Linked DNA regions of Macaca fascicularis. The protein of the gene in region 2 interacts with the protein of the main gene of each other region in a pairwise test. Links are inferred from orthologs where the notes say so. Each region holds a gene or a part of one and is shown on either strand. Other genes may lie near its edges.

Evidence for each region.
Region 1: the proteins of TRIM54 (region 2) and LENG1 interact in binary tests that used the Homo sapiens proteins (3 or more experiments, as listed by UniProt). The two-hybrid records come from large-scale screens. The link is inferred for Macaca fascicularis from reciprocal best matches to the Homo sapiens genes TRIM54 and LENG1.
Region 3: the proteins of TRIM54 (region 2) and UTP14C interact in a two-hybrid assay, tested with the Homo sapiens proteins (2 studies listed by BioGRID and IntAct). The two-hybrid records come from large-scale screens. The link is inferred for Macaca fascicularis from reciprocal best matches to the Homo sapiens genes TRIM54 and UTP14C.
Region 4: the proteins of TRIM54 (region 2) and USHBP1 interact in binary tests that used the Homo sapiens proteins (3 or more experiments, as listed by UniProt). The two-hybrid records come from large-scale screens. The link is inferred for Macaca fascicularis from reciprocal best matches to the Homo sapiens genes TRIM54 and USHBP1.
Region 5: the proteins of TRIM54 (region 2) and SCNM1 interact in binary tests that used the Homo sapiens proteins (3 or more experiments, as listed by UniProt). The two-hybrid records come from large-scale screens. The link is inferred for Macaca fascicularis from reciprocal best matches to the Homo sapiens genes TRIM54 and SCNM1.

Annotation. Positions count from the first base shown.
Region 1 is NC_088393.1:61,961,984-61,966,233, reverse strand, and holds the start of LENG1 (leukocyte receptor cluster member 1), read left to right. Parts: upstream 1-1,400; 5' UTR 1,401-1,423; coding exon 1,424-1,555; intron 1,556-2,669; coding exon 2,670-2,849; intron 2,850-3,605; exon of another isoform or gene 3,606-3,702; coding exon of another isoform or gene 3,703-3,762; intron 3,763-3,846; coding exon of another isoform or gene 3,847-4,008; exon of another isoform or gene 4,009-4,018; intron 4,019-4,109; coding exon 4,110-4,250. Other genes in the region: voltage-gated chloride channel TMC4, read left to right, coding at 1-18, 115-270, 576-654, 747-815.
Region 2 is NC_088387.1:94,920,955-94,924,729, reverse strand, and holds part of TRIM54 (tripartite motif-containing protein 54), read left to right. Parts: intron 1-2,135; coding exon 2,136-2,308; intron 2,309-2,811; coding exon 2,812-2,983; intron 2,984-3,775. UniProt on the Homo sapiens protein: May bind and stabilize microtubules during myotubes formation.
Region 3 is NC_088391.1:31,198,533-31,202,842, forward strand, and holds the start of UTP14C (U3 small nucleolar RNA-associated protein 14 homolog C), read left to right. Parts: upstream 1-1,460; 5' UTR 1,461-1,677; coding exon 1,678-3,990; 3' UTR 3,991-4,310. Other genes in the region: ALG11 (GDP-Man:Man(3)GlcNAc(2)-PP-Dol alpha-1,2-mannosyltransferase), read left to right, coding at 1,189-1,460. UniProt on the Homo sapiens protein: Essential for spermatogenesis. May be required specifically for ribosome biogenesis and hence protein synthesis during male meiosis.
Region 4 is NC_088393.1:17,583,570-17,588,103, reverse strand, and holds the start of USHBP1 (harmonin-binding protein USHBP1), read left to right. Parts: upstream 1-1,684; 5' UTR 1,685-2,127; coding exon 2,128-2,181; intron 2,182-2,276; coding exon 2,277-2,425; intron 2,426-2,726; exon of another isoform or gene 2,727-3,445; coding exon 3,446-3,884; intron 3,885-4,534.
Region 5 is NC_088375.1:110,052,940-110,057,168, reverse strand, and holds the start of SCNM1 (sodium channel modifier 1), read left to right. Parts: upstream 1-1,379; 5' UTR 1,380-1,388; coding exon 1,389-1,439; exon of another isoform or gene 1,440-1,488; intron 1,489-1,713; coding exon 1,714-1,784; intron 1,785-2,140; coding exon 2,141-2,229; intron 2,230-2,326; coding exon 2,327-2,424; intron 2,425-2,531; coding exon 2,532-2,620; intron 2,621-3,635; exon of another isoform or gene 3,636-3,654; coding exon 3,655-3,849; intron 3,850-4,229. Other genes in the region: LYSMD1 (lysM and putative peptidoglycan-binding domain-containing protein 1), read right to left, coding at 316-495. UniProt on the Homo sapiens protein: As a component of the minor spliceosome, involved in the splicing of U12-type introns in pre-mRNAs. Plays a role in the regulation of primary cilia length and Hedgehog signaling.

The DNA.
Region 1 (4,250 bases), on a different chromosome or scaffold from region 2:
GCTTTACAGCATCTTCCTGTAAGTGCGAGAGGTTCCCGCCTCTCTTCCTCCCTCTCCCCCCATTCAGTGTTCAGACTCCTGGCTCTACTTGAACCCAGCCTGTCTTGACTTCAGGATCCCGCCTTCTAAGCCGTGTGGTCCATTCCGGGGGCAGTCGTCCATCTGGGCCCAGATCCCTGAGTCTATTTCCAGCCTCCCTGAGACCACCCAGAACTTCCTCTTCTTCCTGGGGACCCAGGCTTTTGCTGCGCCCCTTCTGCTGATCTCCAGGTGAGGTGGGCCAGACTTCTGGGTCTGGGTTTGAATGCGTGTGATCTGGGGGCCACCACCTGCGTCCAAGAGAGGAAAGGCTTGGGGGTGGGAGCAGGCGATGTACTGAGTCTGAGGGAGGAGGCCTAGGCTCCTGGACTGCTGGGTCCGAAGGAGGAGGTGGGCGGGACTTAGGACTCCTGGATCTGAACGCGGAGGTGCTGGGAGACTGAACTCCTTGAGCCTGGACGAGGAGGGACTTAGGGGTCCACATCCCTGACTTCGAAGAGCGTGTCAGGAGTGGCTTCCGTTCCTGTCTCCTCCAGCATCCTGATGGCGTACACTGTGGCTCGGGCTAACTCCTACGGACGCCTCATCTCTGAGCTCAAACGTCAGAGGGAGACGGTGAGCCAGGCGGGTCCCTGAGAGGGCCCCCGGGGAACACGGAGAGGGGCTGGGGAAGAGGGCTGTCACACCTCCACCTCTCTTTGCCGCAGGAGGCGCAGAATAAAGTCTTCCTGGCACGGCGCGCTGTGGCGCTGACCTCCACCGAACCGGCTCTTTGACCCCCGCAGCTCACGCCCCACTTTCAGACCCCAGGCCCATTGTAAGCCTAGGTCACAACATCTGTAAACTAGGAGAACTGGAGAAGACTCCACGCCCTTCCAGCTTTGGTATCTGGAGATTTCCAGGGCCCCTCGCCGCCACGTCCCTGACTCTCGGGTGATCTTTCTTGTATCAATAAATACAGCCGAGGTTGCTGAGCGCGCTTTGAAATCTGCGTCCTGAAGGTGGGGGCAGGGCTACCGCAGGGCAGGAGCCAATCAAATGTATGGGCATGTTTGTCGGTGCGGAGCGCACTTCCGCAAGGAGACTTGACGGTCATGTCGACCAATCGACGGCCGCATCTGGTAGCATCGGGGCGGGCCAACTTATGATTGGTTCAGATCTGTGATAAGAGGCGGTTGCTAGGGGATACCACGAGCCGAACGCCTAACATTCGCTGTGAAAAGGACGTCTCAGCCAATCACCTGTCGTTACAGGCCAGGGGGCCGTACCAACTAATTCGGAACCAATCTGCGGTCGAAGTAGGGACAAGAGGAAGGGGGGCATCCTCTCGCCAATCGGAAGTGCAAAGAGGCGGGCGTGCCAGTCCCTGGACAGCTACGACGCCATGAATATCTTGCCCAAGAAGAGCTGGCACGTCCGGAACAAGGACAATGTCGCCCGCGTGCGGCGTGACGAGGCCCAGGCCCGGGAGGAGGAGAAGGAGCGTGAGCGGAGGGCGCTGCTGGCTCAGCAAGAGGTAAGCTCGGAGGCCGGCCGGGCTGACCGCCGGAGCCCAGCGCGCACGCGCCGCGGTTGGGGGCCGGAAGCGGAAGCGTTGCGCAGGCTCAGTGTGCCCCGTGTGAAATTCGGGACCAGGCGCCGATCCCGTTTTCGAGGACGTTGCTCTGCAAACCTTGTGGCCACTTCCACGAAACCTCCCTTGATCTCGCCTTCGTCTTAGTTTCCCCCCACTGATGTATTTCACATGGCTGGAACAGTGTCTAGCACAAAAGAGCAGCTTAAAAACATTTAATGAATACATGAGCGCTTGGACAGTTCAAGGAAATTCGGATCACTTTTTAGTTTGCCTGCGCAGTTTATTTATTGAGCACCTATTGTATGCTAACTACATGCAGAGCGCCTGACTTGCGGAATCCCCAGGAGGCACTGTTCGTTCTTAGAGGGGCACTGTCATCTCCGTTGCACGGAGTGAGATGGCTTCAGTGAGGGGAAGGCACATTTAAGGAGAGGGGGACAGCCAGGCTCCACGCCATCGGGCGAGCCCTTTCCTGCACCGCCCCCTAGACACATACACACAAACACGGGCTTTCTGTATGGCTCCTTAAATCTGTTTGGTGTACACCCAACTTTCAGTTCCTTAGCTAGTCTGATCCTCCACAGTGGGTGGGAGGTAGTCTGGGTTTTTAGAATCTCAGTAGGCTGCTGAGCGCTGTTTGAAATCTGCGTCCTGAAGGCGGGGGACAGGGCTTCAGCAGTCGACTTGGGGTAGTGACTTGGAGCCATGGCTAGAATTCAGATCGTCTGGCCTAATGCAGTTTGGTCTACCTTTATGGCTGTTTTAATTGTCTCACTTGAGGTTAGGAACCCCTTTGGTTTAGGCCAGGGACCTCCTTCCAGCCATCCTTGATGACCCGTGGTTTACGATTTGAAAGGCAGTTTACAAAACCCAGGCGTTGCCTCATCTGCCTACCCTCACCCCCAGCTAGGACAGGTGCCTCTTTTAAGCGTCTAGTGCTCCCTTTCTTATAACCCCAGCACCCTGGACTGCCATTTTCTGTGGTGGGCACCAGACTCACAGTTCTTGAATCACCTCTAGGTTCTGAATGCCCTGCCTATAACTTTCTCCCCAGGCCCGTACAGAATTCCTACGAAAGAAAGCCAGACATCAGAACTCACTGCCTGAGCTTGAAGCAGCAGAGGCGGGAGCCCCAAGTTCTGGCCCTGTGGACCTGTTTCGGGAGCTGCTGGAGGAAGGGAAAGGAGTGATCAGAGGCAATAAAGAGTACGAGGAAGAAAAGCGACAGGAGAAAGTAAGCTGGCCTCACCCACTTCATTAGAGGAGCCATGAATCGAGTTGGGGGGAGAGGGCACTTTAGCCACTGCTTGTGATCAAGGTCAAACGAGAACGAACACACAGAATTTAGAACCATACCAAAGCATGACACTTAAGAAGTGTTGCCATCTGGGCACCCACAGGGCTTGGAGGTAGATGCTAGAGGTCCCCAGCTGCCAGGCAAACTGCTCAGTTCTCAAAACTGGAGGGGTCTGAAACCTTGATAGGCTTTTAAAAATGTAAATCAGCCAGCTGTGGCTCATGCCTGTAATCCCAGCACTTTGGGAGGCTGAGGCAGGTGGATCACCTGAGGTCAGGAGTTCAAGACCAGCCTGGTCAACATGGTATCTCTAAGAATACAAAAAAATAAGCCAAGTGTGGTGGTGCACGCCTGTAATCCAGCTACTTGAAGGCTGAAGCAGGAGAATCGCTTGACCTGGGAGGTGGAAGTTGCAGTGAGCTGAGATTGCGCCACTGCACTCCAGCCCGGGTGACAGAGCGAGACCCCATCTCAAAAAAAAAAAGAAAAAAAAAAAAAAAGGCGAATCATTCGCCTCTTGCCTTTTGGCTAAGATCAAGTGTAAAAAGTATGTCTGGTCGTGCATGGTGGCTCACACCTGTAATCCCAGCACATTGGGAGGCCAAGGTGGATGGATCACCTGAGGTCAGGAGTTCAAGACCAGCCTGGCCAAACATGGCAAAACCCCGTCTGTACTAAAAATACAAAAATTAGCCGGGCATGGTGGTGCGTGCCTGTAATCCCAGCTACTAGGGGGGCTGAGGCAGGAGGATTGCTTGAACCTGGGAGGCAGAGGTTGCAGTGAGCCGAGATGGTGCCACTACACTCGAGCCTGGGCAACAGAGCGAGACTGCATCTCAAAAAAAAACAGGTACATGAGCTCTTGTCACTCACCTGCTGTCTCTGGACTTGTTGACCCCACCCATGGCTCCTCTGCTTTGCTTGATCCCTTCAGGCTTCTCTTCAAGTCTCTCTGCAAAGATGCCTGCCTCTGAACACTCAAGTGGCTCCACTTGTCCCCTCCTTCCCCTGCTGTTACCTGCCACTGTCCCCCCAGGGGGAACTTGGCCTCTGTTGGTGTCTTCCATCCCCAGCACCTGGTACAACTGGTTCATGACAAGCCTTAGGTACCTGTTTGCTTAGATTCCTATGTCAGGGAGACACACCTGACACCTTGAAAGATTATATCCCATCTCTTGTATTTCCTGGCCCCCTCAGGAGAGGCAAGAGAAAGCTCTGGGCATCCTGACATACCTGGGCCAGAGTGCAGCGGAGGCACAGACTCAACCCCCTTGGTACCAGCTACCCCCAGAGCGAGGGGGGCCCCCTCCTGGCCCAGCCCCAGATGAGAAGATCAAG
Region 2 (3,775 bases):
CCAGCCAGTTAGGATTAGGTTCTGTTATGAGTGGCAGAAACACCAAAATAACAGTGGCTTAAAGAGGGTAAAAATTTGCTTTATTCTCAAGCGAAAGTATGGGTGGACAGTCCAGGACTGCCCCATCAGAGACCTGCTCCTTTCATCTCGTTACCATTTTCAACATGTGGCTACCATTTCATGACTCAAGATGGCTGCTTCAACTTGAGCCATCCCATCTTCTTTCCAGTCAGCAGGCAGGAGAAAAGGGGAGGAGCAGGGCATGCCCCTCCCTTGAAAGACGGTTTATGCAATTTCCTACAAATTACACGAAACATTTGCATATACATTCCAGAGCACAGCCAACTGGCCACACCCAGTTGGAAGGGAGGCTTAGATTCACGGTTTTCGTTTGTTTGTTTTTTTGAGATGGAGTCTGCCTCTGTTGCTCAGACTGGAGTGCAGTGGTACTATCTCAGCTCACTGCAGCCTCCGTCTTCTGGTTTCAAGCAATTCTCCTGCCTCAGCTTCCTGAGTGGCTGGGACTACAGGTGTGCACCACCGTGCCCAGCTAATTTTTTTATTTTTAGTAAAGATGAGTTCTTGCTATGTTGCCCAGGCTGGTCTCAAACTCCTGAGCTCAAGTGATCTGCCCACCTCGGCCTCCCAAAGTGCTGGGACTACAGGTGTGAGCCACCACACCCAGCCCTTTATACCATGTGTCTTGTTAAAACTCAGCGCCCTTATTATTAAAGAAGAAAAGGTGGTGAACGTCCAGGAACAATAAGCAGTGTCTGCCAGTCTTTCATCTCTGCATCTCCCCACGCATAGACTCTTTTCTCTGTAGACCAGCCTTCTCTGTTCAGAGTTTATGACCCCTCACACTTTCCAGGGTGGCCATGATGTCAGCTCTTAGCCCAATTCCACAGGTCTGTTCAGTTCGTAAGCAGCACATGGTGCAGCCAGCTAAGCCCCTGAGTCTCAAGTGCAGATTCTTAGGAGAGAACATTTAATTGGTTCTGCTTGGGTCAGGTGATCACCTCCTTAGCTCTGAATCAGTCATCTGTGGCACGGATCTGTCTTCTAGGAGAGGATGGAGCAACTTCTCTAGGAAAGAGATGTAAGCGGGAGGAAGTGATGGGTGTCTGTTAAGTCCTCCTTCTGAACTTACCCCTGTCACAACACCCATCCTGCTGGATGCAGTTGTTGGGTGCTTGTCCTTAGAGCAGGATGCATTTTCCTTGTATCTTTAACTCAGAGTCTAGCAACTACCTGGCACACTATAAATGAATAATCTAATTTTATCCTCAGCTTTACAGTGGTTGAATACCTGCCTAAATTTATATAGTTAAGAGGTTGGGCATGGTGGCTCATGCCTATAATCTCAGCAATTTGGGAGGCCAAGGCGGGAGGGTCGCTTGAGGTCAGGAGTTTAAGACCAGCCTGGGCAACATAGTGATACTTCATCTCTACTAAAAATTAAAAAAATTATCTGAGCATGGTGGTACATACCTGTAGTCCCAGCTACTCAAAAGGCTGAGATGGGAGGATTGCTTGAGCCCAGGAGGTTGAGGCTGCAGTGAGCTGTGATCCCACCACTGTACTCCAGTCTGGGCATCAGAGAGAGACCCTGTCTCAAAAAAAAAAAAAAAAAAAGGCATCAGAGAATTACCTGGCTAGTTACTGTTTGTGAGCCCCATTGTTGAGCACTTGTGTCTGCTGTACCCCTCCCCAGGACTGCAGAGAATCTCCCCCCAGATGTGGCTCAAGAGGGCCCCAGACTGGAAGACACTGGCCGCACCACTCAGAGTCCATTTCCTGCCTCAGCCTTATTGCCAAGGCCAATGTCTCCCCACAGCTCCAAGATGGGCCCCTTTGGAGAGATCCCAGCCTGACTACACCTTTACCAAAGCTGGTCTCTAGATGCAGGGGCACTCTAGGAGGTGGGCTGAGTAATGAGGCAAAGGTGGGAAGCAGGGTCTCCATAGCCGTACACCCTGCGCTGCTCTCAGAGGTGGATCCAGCCACAGAGAAGAGCTGACATCTTCCCCTCTATCATATTCCTACTCCCTAGCCCCCAATCCCTTTCCCCCTGCCTCCTCTGAGTCCCTTCATGCCTCCCCGTGCCTGTTCTCTCAAGCCATCTGTCCCTGCAGGCCTCGAATCCTCTGTGGCAGTCCCGGGGCTCCACCACTGTGTCTTCAGGAGGCCGTTTCCGCTGCCCATCTTGCAGGCATGAGGTTGTCCTGGACAGACACGGTGTCTACGGCCTGCAGCGAAACCTGCTAGTGGAGAACATTATTGACATTTACAAGCAGGAGTCGTCCAGGTGAGCCGCCAGGGTCTCTTGCCTCTCTAAATGTCAGGGCTTGGGACACAGCCAAGGAACCCATCAGAGCCAGAAGGGAGAGACTGAAACCGTCAACCCGCCTGTTCTGTCTAGAGACAATAGGACTGGATCCGGAGAGGGATTGCCTCAGGCCTCCCAGAGAGGGCAGTCCCTGATTCCCTAGCCAGTACTTCACTCCTACCCTCTCCTCCTGGGAGAGGCTGGCAGTCCACCAGCAAGATCCTCGCCAACCCTCCAAGACTTCCTGTCCTGTGGGACTTCCCTGCCCCCTGAAATACAGACTATTCTTGGATCCAGGCCTTCTCTATCTCTTAGCTCCTTCTATTCCCCAAACTCAGAGCTCTGTGGAAGTACTCACCAGTTCAGCCACAGCACTAGCTGCAGGGGTGGAGAAGGGGTGGTAGTTGGTGGAGGCTGAAGAGAAGGTGTTCCTAGGACCCTTCATGCTTAAGGTCCACCTCCCCCTGCCCACTCCTCTCTAGGCCGCTGCACTCCAAGGCTGAGCAGCACCTCATGTGCGAGGAGCATGAAGAGGAGAAGATCAATATCTACTGCCTGAGCTGTGAGGTGCCCACCTGCTCTCTCTGCAAGGTCTTCGGTGCCCACAAGGACTGTGAGGTGGCCCCACTGCCCACCATTTACAAACGCCAGAAGGTATCAAACAGGGGAGGGAGTAGATGTGTGGGAGATGGGGGCTTAGGACAGGGTCTCAATGTCAGCCTCTTATTCCACTTATCATTTGTTTATTTCTTTATTTATTTAGAGACAGGATCTCACTCTGTTGCCCAGGCTGGAGTGCAGTGGCACAAACACAACTTACTGCAGCCTTGATCTCCTGAGCTCAAGTGATCCTCCCGTCTTAGCCTCCCAGAACACTAAGATTATAGATGTGAGCCACTGCACTCAGCCCTATCTATTATCTATCTATCTATCTATCTATCTATCTATCTATCTATCTATCTATCTATTTTGAGATGGAGTCTCGCACTGTCACCCAGGCTGGAGTGCAGTGGTGCAATCTTGGCTCATAGCAACCTCAGCCTCCCGGGTTCAAGCCGTTCTTATGCCTCAGCCTTCCATGTACCTGGGATTACAGGTGTGTGCCACCACGCCCAGTTTTTTTGTTTTTTTGTTTTTTTGTTTTTTTTTTTTTTGATTCCTGGCTTCATGTGATCTGCCCACCTTGGCCTCCCAAAGTGCTGGAATTACAGGCGTGAGCCACTGTGCCCAGTTCCATTCATTTATTTTTGAAGAGATGTGGGGATCTCTGTCGCCCAGGCTGGGATGCACTGCTATGATTGTGATTCACTGCAGCAGCCTTGAACTCCTGGGCTCACGTGATCCCTACCACCTCAGTCTCCCGAGTAGCTGGAACTACAGGCATGTGCCGCCATGCCCAGCTTATTTATTTATTTATTTGAGACAGAGTTTCGCTCTTGTTGCCCA
Region 3 (4,310 bases), on a different chromosome or scaffold from region 2:
GGAGAAGTAGAAGCAAAAGTCAGACTATGAGCAAAAATCAAAAGTTGAGCACTCAGAAGTGAACAAGTAGAGTTGGTAAGTGCAAACCACACTTTCAGTAAGTTTGTGAAGTACGGAGCGGGAAGAAGAGACAATGGCTAGGGGTGGGTATTGCAGGACCTGAGGAGAGGCATGTGGCACCCTAGCTTCAATGCTGATAGGAAGGAGCCAGTAGAGAGGGAAAGGGTAAAACTGATTAGATGAAGGTCTCTGAGAAAGTACAGGATGCTCTCCAACCTCAAGCAGAATACGATATGAGCTACTGAATTCTATTCTGCAGGGATTTCACCACTGGTTTAGAAACATTTGGAATTATTTAATTTCTCTCCTATACATCCAGGATGATACCAGCTCTGTACCATCCTTCAGATAATTGGGAAAGCAGTCACTTAAATCATTCTCTGAAGGGCTTAATTCTCCTAGGAATACAGCTAAGAAAGGCTGGCTACATTAATTTATATTTCATGTGTATCATTTGGCAGAAACTAACCACAACTTTCATTTAGTTCAGCACTGTTGTTGGGCACGCAGTAGTCTCAAATATGCCAGAAATCCAGGCAGTAACATAAGCACTGCAATAGTATGCTTCACTTAGGTGATTCGCATTTTTTATTTTTTCTGCTAATGTAATTTGAACTATTAAAATTGTTTTTGATATCTTTTTACTCCTTTTGTTTTTCTAATACCTGTTAATATTCTACCATCTTGCTAACATTCTCTAGTCTTTTTTAATTATCTGCAATATATCTTTTTTAATAGGTTAGTCTTCCATCTACTTGTCTATTTTAACTAAGAATAAAGCAGCAGGCTGGGTGTGGTAGCTCACGCTGGTAAATCCCAGCACTTTGGGAGGCCAAGATGGGAGGACCACTTGAGGCTAGGAGTTAGAGGCCAGCCTGGGCAACATAGTGAGACCCTCTCTCTCCAAAAAAAAAAAAAATTGTATTATTATGAAGCTATGAAAACTAAAAAACTTAAAATTATTTTATTTTGTACTATAGAAGTTAAATAAGCAAATGTCTAGACATATAGACATTTAATTAAGTTTCTCATAAGTCCCTTAAAATTTTTGAAGATTTCTGTTCATCCTCATTCTTATGAACACACTCAAAAACTTAAAATACTACATGATTTTTGTTTTTTTCTCAGGAGTTGTGGAGTGTATGGCAGCTGGCACAATTATCCTTGCACACAATTCAGGGGGCCCAAAGCTTGACATTGTCGTTCCTCACGAAGGAGATATAACTGGCTTTCTGGCTGAGAGTGAAGAAGACTATGCTGAAACTATCGCTCACATTCTTTCCATGTCTGCAGAAAAGAGACTCCAAATCAGAAAAAGTGCTCGTGCATCTGTAAGCAGATTCTCTGATCAGGAATTTGAAGTGACATTCCTATCATCTGTGGAAAAGTTATTTAAGTAATGCCATATCTGGAAAATTAAAGATATTTTATATAAACTGGTTAAACACCTTCATATGTAAATATTTTTCTAAATTCAATCTCATTTGTCAAATCATTTTACTTTAGAAAACAGACAAGAAAATTTCCTTTTAGAATAAAAGGAAGTGTTGAAAAGAAAATGGATGACTAGCCTTCAGCTTCCATTCTTGGTACACATGAGAGAAGCTGGCTGCTGAGATGAATGTGAACCGGGTTGTGGAGAGCCTTCTGGCTTTGAGCCAACAGGAAGAATTAATGGATTTGCCAAAAAACTGCCCCTTGAGTGAGAATGAAGATGAGGGGGACAGTGATGGAGAGAGAAAGCATCAAAAGCTTCTGGAAGCAATCAGTTCCCTTGATGGAAAGAATAGGCGGAAATTGGCTGAGAGGTCTGAGGCTAGTCTGAAAGTGTCAGAGTTCAATGTCAGTTCTGAAGGATCAGGAGAAAAGCTGGTCCTTGCAGATCTCCTTGAGCCTGTTAAAACTACTTCTTCTTTGGCCACTGTGAAAAAGCAACTGAATAGAGTCAAATCAAAGAAGGTGGTGGAGTTACCTCTTAACAAAGAAAAGATTGAACAGATCCACAGAGAAGCAGCATTCGGTAAAACCTCACAAGTCCTCTCTAAATGGGACCCTATCGTCCTGAAGAACCAGCAGGCAGAGCAGCTGGCTTTTCCCCTGGGGAAGGAGCAGCCAGCCATTGCTCCCATTGAACATGCACTCAGTGGCTGGAAGGCAGGAACTCCCCTGGAGCAGGAAATTTTTAACCTCCTCCATAAGAACAAGCAGCCAGTAACAGACCCTTTACTGACTCCCATGGAAAAGGCCTCTCTCCAAGCCATGAGTCTGGAAGAGGCAAAGATGCACCGAGCAGAGCTTCAAAGGGCTCGGGCTCTGCAGTCCTACTATGAGGCCAAGGCTCGAAGAGAGAAGAAAATCAAAAGTAAAAAGTATCACAAAGTCGTGAAGAAAGGAAAGGCCAGGAAAGCCTCAAAAGAGTTGGAGCAGCTGCAGAAGGTTAATCCAACTGTGGCATTGGAAGAACTGGAAAAATTTGAAAATGCCAGAATGATGGAAAGAATGAGCCTTAAGCACCAAAACAGTGGGAAATGGGCCAAGTCAAAGGCAATTATGGCAAAATATGACCTGGAGGCTCGCCAAGCTATGCAGGAACAGTTGGCCAAGAACAAAGAACTGACACAGAAACTCCAGGTAGCCTCTGAGATTGAGGAAGAGGAGGGAGGCACAGAAGAAGTGGAAGAACTCCTTGTCCCCCATGTAGTGAATGAAGTCCAGATGAATGTGGACGGACCAAATCCCTGGATGCTCAGAAGCTGCACCAGTGACACCAGAGAGGCTGCAACCCAGGAGGACCCTGAGCAACTGCCAGAGCCTGCCACCCATGAGGTTTCTGAAAGTGAGGGAGAAAGACCAGTGGCAGAGGAAGAAATTTTGTTGAGAGACTTTGAGGAGAGGCGATCCCTTAGAAAAAGATCTGAGCTCAACCAGGATGCTGAGCCAGCAGGCATTCAAGAAACAAAAGATTCTAGCAGCCAGGAGGTGCTGTCTGAATTGAGGGCACTATCTCAGAAATTGAAGGAAAACCATCAGTCCAGGAAGCAAAAAGCAAGTTCAGAGGGGACTGTTCCCCAGGTCCAGAGAGAGGAACCTGCCCCAGAAGAAGAGGCGCCCCTGTTGCTACAGAGGCCAGAGAGAGTACAAACTGTGGAAGAGCTAGAAGAGCTGGGAAAAGAAGATTGTTTTCAAAATAAGGAGCTTCCCAGACCTGTGTTAGAAGGGCAGCAGTCAGAGAGGACCCCAAATAATCGGCCTGATGCCCCTAAGGAGAAGAAAGAGAAGGAGCAACTGATCGACGTACAGAACCTCCTAACTACACAGTCTCCTTCCGTGAGGTCTTTGGCAGTTCCCACAACAATAGAGGAGCTGGAAGATGAAGAGGAGAGAGACCAAAGGCAGATGATAAAGGAAGCTTTTGCTGGGGATGATGTCATCAGAAATTTCTTGAAAGAGAAGAGAGAAGCTGTGGAGGCGAGTACGCCAAAGGACGTGGACCTGACACTACCTGGCTGGGGCGAGTGGGGTGGTGTGGGCCTAAAGCCTAGTACCAAGAAAAGACGCCAGTTTCTCAAAGCCCCTGAGGGTCCTCCAAGAAAAGATAAGAATTTGCCAAATGTGATTATCAGTGAGAAGCGCAACATCCACGCAGCAGCTCATCAGGTACAAGTGCTTCCATATCCATTTACCCACCATCGGCAATTTGAAAGGACCATCCAGACCCCTGTAGGATCCACATGGAACACCCAGAGGGCTTTCCAAAAGCTGACTACTCCCAAGGTCATCACCAAGCCAGGTCATATCATTAAGCCCATAAAAGCAGAGGATGTGGGCTACCGGTCTTCCTCAAGGTCAGACCTGTCTGTCATACAGTGGAATCCAAAACAAATCACCACACGTCACAGTAAAGAGTTGAAGAAAAACTCTGTAGGTTGAGTAGCTGGAAAAGTGACAGCTAGGAGTTCTGATTCCACTTCCTTTGGTCCAGTTTTACTCTGCTACAGGGTGGATTCCAGAACTGGCTCAGCACATTGCATGTAGTTGAGCCACATTTTTAAAAAAAGAAAATGGATGACCATTAATTGACTAGCATTTTAGAATTGATCAGACATTAGAACACAGAAAAATGCTGGTACATTTACATTCTAAACAATACAGTGGATGACCCTTTTGAATATACCTAATGATTTCCTTTAAAAAGAAATTTTAAACAGACTTGTGTAATCATGTTCTCAAAGCATACAGTCAAGAGGTGG
Region 4 (4,534 bases), on a different chromosome or scaffold from region 2:
ACTGAGGGGTTGGGGGCAGTGGCTCACACTTGTAATCACAGCATTTTGGGAGGCTGAGGTGGGCGGATCACGAGGTTAAGAGTTGGAGATCAGCCTGGCCAATATGGTGAAATCCCGTCTCTACTAAAATTACAAAAAATTATCCGGGTGTGGTGGTGCACACCTGTAATCACAGCTACTCGGAAGGCTGAGGCAGAAAAATCGCTTGAACCCAGGAGGTGGAGGTTGCAGTGAGCCGAGATCCCGCCACTGCACTCCAGCCTGGGTGACAGAGCAAGATTCCATCTAAAAAAATAAAATAAATAAATAAACTGAGGCTTCAAGTGGCTCTTAAACATTTCTGGGGCTGGTGGGGTGGATGACTCATGCCTGTAATCCCAACACTTTGGGAGGGTGAGGCAGGTGGATCACCTGAGTTCAGGAGTTTAAGAGCAGCCTGGCCAACATGGCAAAAACCCATCTCTAGCCGGGTGCAGTGGCTCACGCCTGTAATCCCAGCACTTTGGGAGGCCAAGGCCGGCGGATTACTTGAGGTCAGGAGTTCAAGACCAGCCTGGCCAACATGGTAAAACCCTGTCTCTACTAAAAACACAAAAATTAACCAGGCGTTGTGGTGGGCACTTGTAATCCCAGCTACTCGGCAGGCTGAGGCAGGAGAATTGCTTGAACCCAGGAGGTGGAGGATGCAATGAGATCGCACCGCTGCACTCCAACCTGGGCGACAGAGCGAGACTCCATCTCAAAAAAAAAAAAAAAAAAAAAAAAAAGAAGGTTGGGCGTGGTGGCTCACGCCTGTAATCCCAGCACTTTGGGAGGCCAAGGCAGGTGGATCACGAGGTCAGAAGATCGAGACCATCGTAGCTAACACGGCGAAACCCCGTCTCTACTAAAAATACAAAAAAATTAGGTGGGCGTGGTGGCGGGTGCCTGTAGTCCCAGCTACTCGGGAAGCTGAGGCAGGAGAATGGTATGAACCCGGGAGGCAAAGGTTGCAGTGAGCCAATATCGCACCACTGCACTCCAGCCTGGGCGACAGAGCGAGAAGAGAACTGTCAGCCCACAGTGAAGAGACAGGCAGAGAAGAAGAGTTCACAGGGGAGCCAAATAAAAGCCATATCAGCTCAGGGGAACATTCTAGCTCTTTTTTTTTTCTTTCTTTTTGAGACAGGGTGTTGCCTTGTTACCCAGACTGGAGTGCAGTGGCGTGACCATGGCTCACTGCAGCCTCAACTTCCAGGTGTTAAGCAATCCTCCCACCTCAGCCTCCCGAGTAGCTGGGACTACAGGCATATGACACCACTCCTGGCTAATTTTTATATTTTATGTAGAGACGGGGGTCTTGCCATGTTGCCCAGGCTTGTCTTAAACTCTTGGGCTCAAGCGATCTGCCTTCCTCAGCTTCCCAGAGTCCTGGGATTACAGGCGTGAGCCATGGTGCTCGGCCCATTCTAGATCTTGAGAAATAAAATCCAAGCGTCAGAGCTAGAAGGGCCATGGGCTTGGAGGCTGAGACGAGGAGGGGCTGAAACCTTGGGAGTCAGGTATGTGTGCCCCGCTAGGGCTGCAGGAAGCTGCTGTCCTCAAAAAGGAAACAACACAATAACAAGTCACATGACCAGGGGAGTGGGTTCCTGTTTCCTGGTCCCTCCCAGGCCAGGCTTGGCCAGCCCAGGCCTGACCAGGCAGTGGCCAGAGTGACCCCAAGACGGCGTCCAGGGACTCAGGCCTCTGATCAAGTTACCCCCAGAAGATCAGAGAGGTAGAGAGCTGAACCCGTCATTTAGGAGGGCCGCGGAGGAGAGGGAATTATTGAGATTGCATTTCCAGGCTCAAAGAGAGGAGGGAAGGGGACAAAGACGTAGTGAAGGTAAAGAAGGCAGAGAAGAAGGGGGAGATCCAGACAACCTTGTTAGGTAGTGAGCTGCCTGTCCAGGAGGCATTCAAATGTGCCCAATCAACATTGATCACAAAATCCCTTCCTGAGGGGTAGTCAATGTCCCATTTCACAGCAGAGGAAATTGAGGTTGTCCTTTGTCCAGGACAACAAAGGCAAGAGGTCATGGCAGGCTGTGGTTTTAGGGGTTGACGAAGGAGAAGCATTCAGAGAGCACTGGCTTCTGGACAGCAATGAGTGCCCGGGCCACGCGGCCCCGAAGCCGGCGAGGGAGGCATGCTCCACCCGTAAGTGTCGCCCTCTCCCCTCCACACCCAGCTCCTGGGGACCCCAAGGTCCCATCCTGCCTGGCTCAGAGCGGGGCCACGGGGGTCATTTGCAGGGTGAACTGGACCCCGTGGCTGAGAGTTCAGAGGAGATTGAGGCAGCCAGTGGGAGCTCCAAGCTCAGCTTTGCCCCACCTCCTGTGAGCTCCGGGCTGGAACAGCTGGGCCCCATGGAGGAGGTCAGTGGCCAAGGCCTAGGAAGCAGGTAAGACCCCCTTGGTCTGTGCCCTTCACTCCAGTCCACATGCATCTTTGCCATCTGCAGATCTGCTGATGTGCCCTCTCTGCTCACACACCTACCATAGCTCCCTGTTGCCTTCAGCCTGACTTTCTTTTCTTTTTTTTGAGTCTTGCTCTGTCACCCAGGCTGCAGTGCAGTGGCACAATCTCCACTCACAGCAATCTCTGCCTCCTGGGTTCAAGAGGGAGCCTCAGCTTCCCGAGTAGCTGGGATTACAGGTGTGTGCCACCACACCCAGCTAATTTTTGTATTTTTAGTGAGACAGGGTCTTGCCACGTTAGCCAGGCTGGTCTTGAACTCCTGACCTCAGGTGATCCCCCCACTTCGGCCTCCGAAAGTGCTGGGATTACAAGTGTGAGTCGCTGCCCCAGAAGACCCCATTTCCAGAATCTTCTGTCTCTCACCTTCAGGACTTTCCCACTGCCCGTCACAGTCCAACTTACTATTCACTCTGCTTCGTAGCCCCAGGTCTCCCCTCCAACTTCTCCACCACCTCTGTCCAGCCTCTTCCCTGAATTCCCAGCCTCCCAGTCTCTCCCTGGGATGCAAGTCCCAGAACACGCAGCTCTTGCCAACTCTGCCCCGCTCACACCTCCCGAAGACCATGAAGTTTAAGCCCTAAGAATTCCCTGCCCTGGGCTGAGCGTTGTGGCCCATGCCTGTTATCGCAGAACTTTGGGAGGCCAAGTCGGGCGAATCACCTGAGGTCAGGAGTTTGACATCAGCCTGGCCAACATGGTGAAACCCTGTCTCTACTAAAAATACAAAAATTAGCCGGGCGTGGTGGTGGGCACCTGTAATCCCAGCTACTTGGGGGACTGAGGCAGGAGAATCACTTGAACCCAGGAGGTGGAGGTTGCAGTCAGCTGAGATCGCACCACTGCACTCCAGCCTGGGCAACAGAGTGAGACTCTGTCTCAAAAAATAAAAAAGAATTCCCTGCCCAGCATGGAGCGACTCAAGTGCCTGAGTTGGTGTCCACAGGACCGACAAGAAGACGGATGGGGGCTCTGGCAGGGGACTGGCCTCAGCCCCCGAGGTGCCCCACAAACCTGCAGTGGAAGCCTACCAGGCCCCAGAAGCAGCCCTACAGTACAAGGAGACTGTGCCCCCTGGGATTGGGGCCCCCGATGTGTTTCAGACCCTCCAGCACGCTCTGAGCTCCCTGGAGGCAGCGGCTGCAGCCTGGCGCCACCGGCCCCCCAGCCATCCTGGGCCAATGGAGTTGGAAGACACAAGCAAAGGGGGACCAGGTCCCCTTGGGAAGCAGGAAGGGGCAGGGAGCAGCCAGCGAGAGGCAGCTCGCCTGGCTGAGAGGAATGCCTGGCTCCGGCTGGCCCTGAGTAGCCGAGAGGATGAGCTGGTCCGCACGCAGGCCTCCCTGGAGGCCATCCGAGCTGAGAAGGAGACGCTGCAGAAAGAGGTGAGTGGGGCCATCCTGAGTCCTATGTGGCTCTCTGTCTGAGGGAGGAGGCAGGCCCGATGTAGGCAATATTCATTCATCTGTTCATTCCAAAAACCTTTTGAGGCTGGGTGTGGTGGCTCACGCCTATAATCCCAGCACTTTGGGAGATGGAGGCAGGAGGATCCTTTGAGGCCAGGAGTTCAAGACCAGCCTGGGCAACACAGCAAGACCCCTACCTCTGCAAAAAATAAAAAATAAAAATCAGCCAGGTTGGCCAGGCACGGTGGCTCACACCTGTAATCCCAGCACTTTGGGAGGCTGAGGTGGGCGTATCACAAAGTCAGGAGTTCAAGACCAGCTTGGCCAACATGGTGAAACCCCATCTCTACTAAAAATAAAAATAAATAAATAAATAAAAGCCAGGTGTGGTGGCATATGCCTGTAATTCCAGCTACTCAGGAGGCTGAGGCAGGAGAATCACTTGAACCCGGGTGATGGAGGTGGCAGTGAGCTGAGATCACATCAATGTACTCCAGTCTGGAGAACAGAGTGAGACTCTGTCTAAAAAAAAAAAAAAAAAAAAAAAAAAAAATCAGCCAGGTTGGCTGGGTGCGGTGGCTCATGCCTGTAATCTACACCAGCACTGTGGGAGGCCAAGGTGGGTGGAT
Region 5 (4,229 bases), on a different chromosome or scaffold from region 2:
CTTCATCTGCCAAAAGGGAACAATAAATGTATACTTGATATGGACGTGAGGGTGAAATGAGCTAACGTATGTGAAGCCCCTAGCACAGTGTCTGGCATGATAAAATAGGAGCTGTTCCTCTCCATTGGAATAGTAGAGCAGAACTTGTCCCAACCACGCAGTGCAACACTGTGATGGGAAAACAAAGATAAAGGCAGAACAGAGTTCAACACATTAGGAACATTTCAGGGGAGGTTACCTAGAAGGTCCACTACATTCTTCTCAGGACTAAATCCCTCCTGACTCTTGTCTGCACCCCAATCCTGGAAAACTCACCGTCACCCCATATTTGAGTGCTAGTCCAGCCAGGGTGTCTCCGGGCTCCAACTGATGCTCCAGGCGTCTTTCCCTCACTGGGGAGCAGGCCGATTGCACCAGGCTTCCATATGAACGAGCCCGGCTCCCGTGAAGCAGTCCTGACCCCCCTGGCGGGGGCTGTCTAGACGGGGAAGCCATCTCTTCACCCTGCCGACAGCTAGGTTGCAACTAGGGGAGGCCCGACCGAGACTGCGAGTGACAGGCCTGAAGTCTGGGAATAGATATTCAGGGGATTCCTTTCCCCTTCTCTCTTCCCCTGTGTCCCCGCCTCCCCAGCACTACGCCACCTGCCCCCTCCCGGTTTCTCCTCCCTCCAACTCCTTATCCACAAATCTGTCCCTTGAGTATTCAGTCCCTCCCTGATTCGCCCCTAAGCACCCCTCCGACTTTGAACTCCCCCACAACTCCTCGCTACATTGACCTCTGACCTTTGAACTCTAGAAATAATCCTCAACACTCTTTCCTCAGTTTGCCCCCAAGTAGCCTGGCCTCAGGGCGCTCCCACATCCCAGCTCTGCCCGGTCCCGGGGTTTGTTTGCTAGAGCCAGGAACAAATCAGGCCCACCCCAGGTGAACTGTCGCCGCAGACGAAGAGCGTGAGGATTGCGAGAATTTGTAGTACACCTTCCACTCAGAGATCCTCACAGGTCCGCTCCGCATCAGATAGGTCACACCCTCAAATTTCGGCTCCACATCTAGGTTCTTGTCCCTCTAAACGCCTCAGATCCACCAAGATGCAAGGGCCTGGATCCAGCTGAGCGGCAAGGTCTTTGAGGAAAAGACTTCATTTCCCAAAAGGCGTCGCGTCTGCAGAGTCGCACGGCACCATAGGAAATGCAGTTCCCTCCACGCGCCAGAGAGTGGATATCCGGATGGCGCAATGCATGCGTGGAAGTGCATTCCCGGAAGTACGGGGGCCGACAGGAAGACAAAGAGAAAAGAGAAGGCGCTGTCCCGCTCTTGCTACGGTGGCCTAGAGGAGTGGCGAAACCGGAACAAGAAAATTTATCACTCTGGGACTCACAGTCGTGATGTCTTTCAAGAGGGAAGGAGACGATTGGAGTCAACTCAATGTGCTCAAAGTAAGCGTGAGCGGAGAGGATCTGCAGCCTCTTCAGTCGCTCTCTGAAGGTTGGGAAGGAGCGTTGTTTCATTGCTCTGGCAACAACTCGGGGGTGCAGGAGAGAACCAGGCGACTTAGAGCTGTGTAGTGACTCCTTTTTCGGTCTATGATCGCTGTTCTCCCCAGGGTCCTTATGTCCTTATTCCGTTTGACTCCTCATTTCTGTCATTTAACTTCCATCCCTCTCTCCTATCCTGCTGATCCGTCCGGATTTCTTCCCCTACTCCCTGCAGAAAAGAAGAGTCGGGGACCTCCTCGCCAGTTACATCCCAGAGGATGAGGCGCTGATGCTTCGGGATGGACGGTAAGAGCGAGGAGTGGCTCAAGCCTGAGGGTTTTGCGGTTAGAGGCTCAATAGCTGTGTTGCCCAGGCTGTCCTTGAACTCTAGGGCTCAAGTGATCCTGCCTCCTCAGCGTCGCGATTAGCTGGGATTACAGGCGCACGCCACCACGCCCGGCTTCAACAAACTTTTGTTATTAATTAGGACAGCAGAAGTATCTAGGATTCTTTGGCGGCTAGTGAGGACTGGAAGAAGTGGAGATTGGGTCACCAGGGAGTTGGGTTTTGCAAAGACTGCTAGGACAGGGTGGGACTTACGGCAGGGACAGGCCCAACCCTCTTCCCCTGGACCAGTTATCCTCTTCTCTACCCCTGCTCAGCTTTGCTTGTGCCATCTGCCCCCATCGACCGGTACTGGACACCCTGGCCATGCTGACTGCCCACCGTGCAGGCAAGAAACATCTGTCCAGTAAGTTCGGGGGAAGACAGGGGATGGGGAATAAATCGAAATCTCTGCACACCAGCCTTGGTGCTATGCTTTTAATTCTGTTTCCCTTTCTCTTCAGGCTTGCAGCTTTTCTATGGCAAGAAGCAGCCGGGAAAGGAAAGGAAGCAGAATCCAAGACATCAGAATGAATTGAGGAGGGAAGAAACCAAAGCTGAGGTAATCAGAGAGTGGAGAGTGTGTTCTAGGCAAGACCCTGCTGCACACACCAGGCTGGAAGGGCAGAGGGCTGAAGGCTCTGACTCTGTCTCCCATCTTCTTACCAGGCTCCTCTGCTAACCCAGACACGACTTATCACCCAGAGTGCTCTGCACAGAGCTCCCCACTATAACAGTTGCTGCCGCCGGAAGTACAGGTATGGGAGGGGAAAGCCAGAGGTAGGAAGGCTCGGAAGGAGATAGAGGGCTCTGAAAGTGTTTTCCAGTCTGTATTCTGAGGAATACTAGCGTTCTGGAGATGTTACTTAGTGTTTCAAGAAAAGGAGAATTTTGGCCGGGCACGGTGGCTCACACCGGTAATCCCAGCACTTTTGGAGGCTTAGGCGGTGGATCACTTGAGATCAGGAGTTCAAGACCAGCCTGGCCAACATGGTGAAACCCCGTCTCTACCAAAAATATAAAAAATTAGCTGGGTGTGTGGTGTGTGCCTGTAATCCCAGCCACTCAAGAGGCTGAGGTGGAAGAATTGCTTGAATCCGGGAGGCAGAGGTTGCTGTGAGCCAGGATCATACCACTTCACTCCAGCCTAGGTGACAGAGTGAGACTCCATCTCAAAAGAAAAAGAAAAGGAGAATTTTGTGATTTTTAAATAAAGTTTGGGAAATGGCACTTTGTAATTCTACTTGAAGAGTAACAGTTTTAGGCCGGGCGCAGTGGCTCAAGCCTGTAATCCCAGCACTTTGGGAGGCCGAGACGGGTGGATCGCGAGGTCAGAAGATCGAGACCATCCTGGCTAACACGGTGAAACCCCGTCTCTACTAAAAAATACAAAAAACTAGCCGGGTGAGGTGGCGGGCGCCTGTATCCCAGCTACTCGGGAGGCTGAGGCAGGAGAATGGCGTAAACCCGGGAGGCGGAGCTTGCAGTGAGCTGAGATCTGGCCACTGCACCCCAGCCTGGGTGACAGAGCAAGACTCCATCTCAGAAAAAAAAAAAAAAAAAAAAAGAGTAACAGTTTTAAAAGCTATACAAAGTCTTAAGAATTAAAAAAAAAACTTGTAAAATTTAAAGCTAGCCTTTCCCAAATTCATGATTCTAAAATCCTTTGTATGCAGAACTTACTAATATCTTGAAAAATATAGTTTAAGAAACACTGTTTTAAGAGGTTGGGAGTCATAGGAGAGTTGGCCCTTTCCCTTACTGCTTTTACAGACTATTCTTCTCTACCTAGACCAGAAGCCCCTGGTCCCTCTGTCTCCCTTTCTCCTGTGCCACCCTCAGAGGTCGAACTCCAAAGCGGGAAGATCAGTAGGGAACCTGAACCTGGGGCTGGCCCACAGGCTGAGGAGTCAGCAACTGTCTCAGCCCCTGCACCCATGAGCCCCACAAGAAGACGAGCCCTGGACCATTATCTCACCCTTCGAAGGTGAGTGTGCCTAATCAGTTTCCTCAGATTTTCTTTTCTCTCTGACCCTTCTTGTTTCAAAGCTTTTTTTTTTTTTTTTTTTTTTTGAGACGGAGTCTCGCTCTGTCACCAGGCTGGAGTGCAGTGGTGTGATCTCATCTCAGCTCACTGCAACCTCCGCCTCCCAGGTTCAAGCGATTCCCCTGCCTCAACCTCTCGAGTAGCTGGGATTACAAGCATGTGCCACCATGCCTGGCTTATTTTTTGTATTTTAGTAGAGGCGGGGTTTCACTACGTTGGTGAGGATGGTCTCAATCTCCTGACCTTGTGATCCACCCACCTCGGCCTCCCAAAGTGCTGGGATTACAGGCGTGAGCCACCGTGCCCGCCCCCCAATTTTT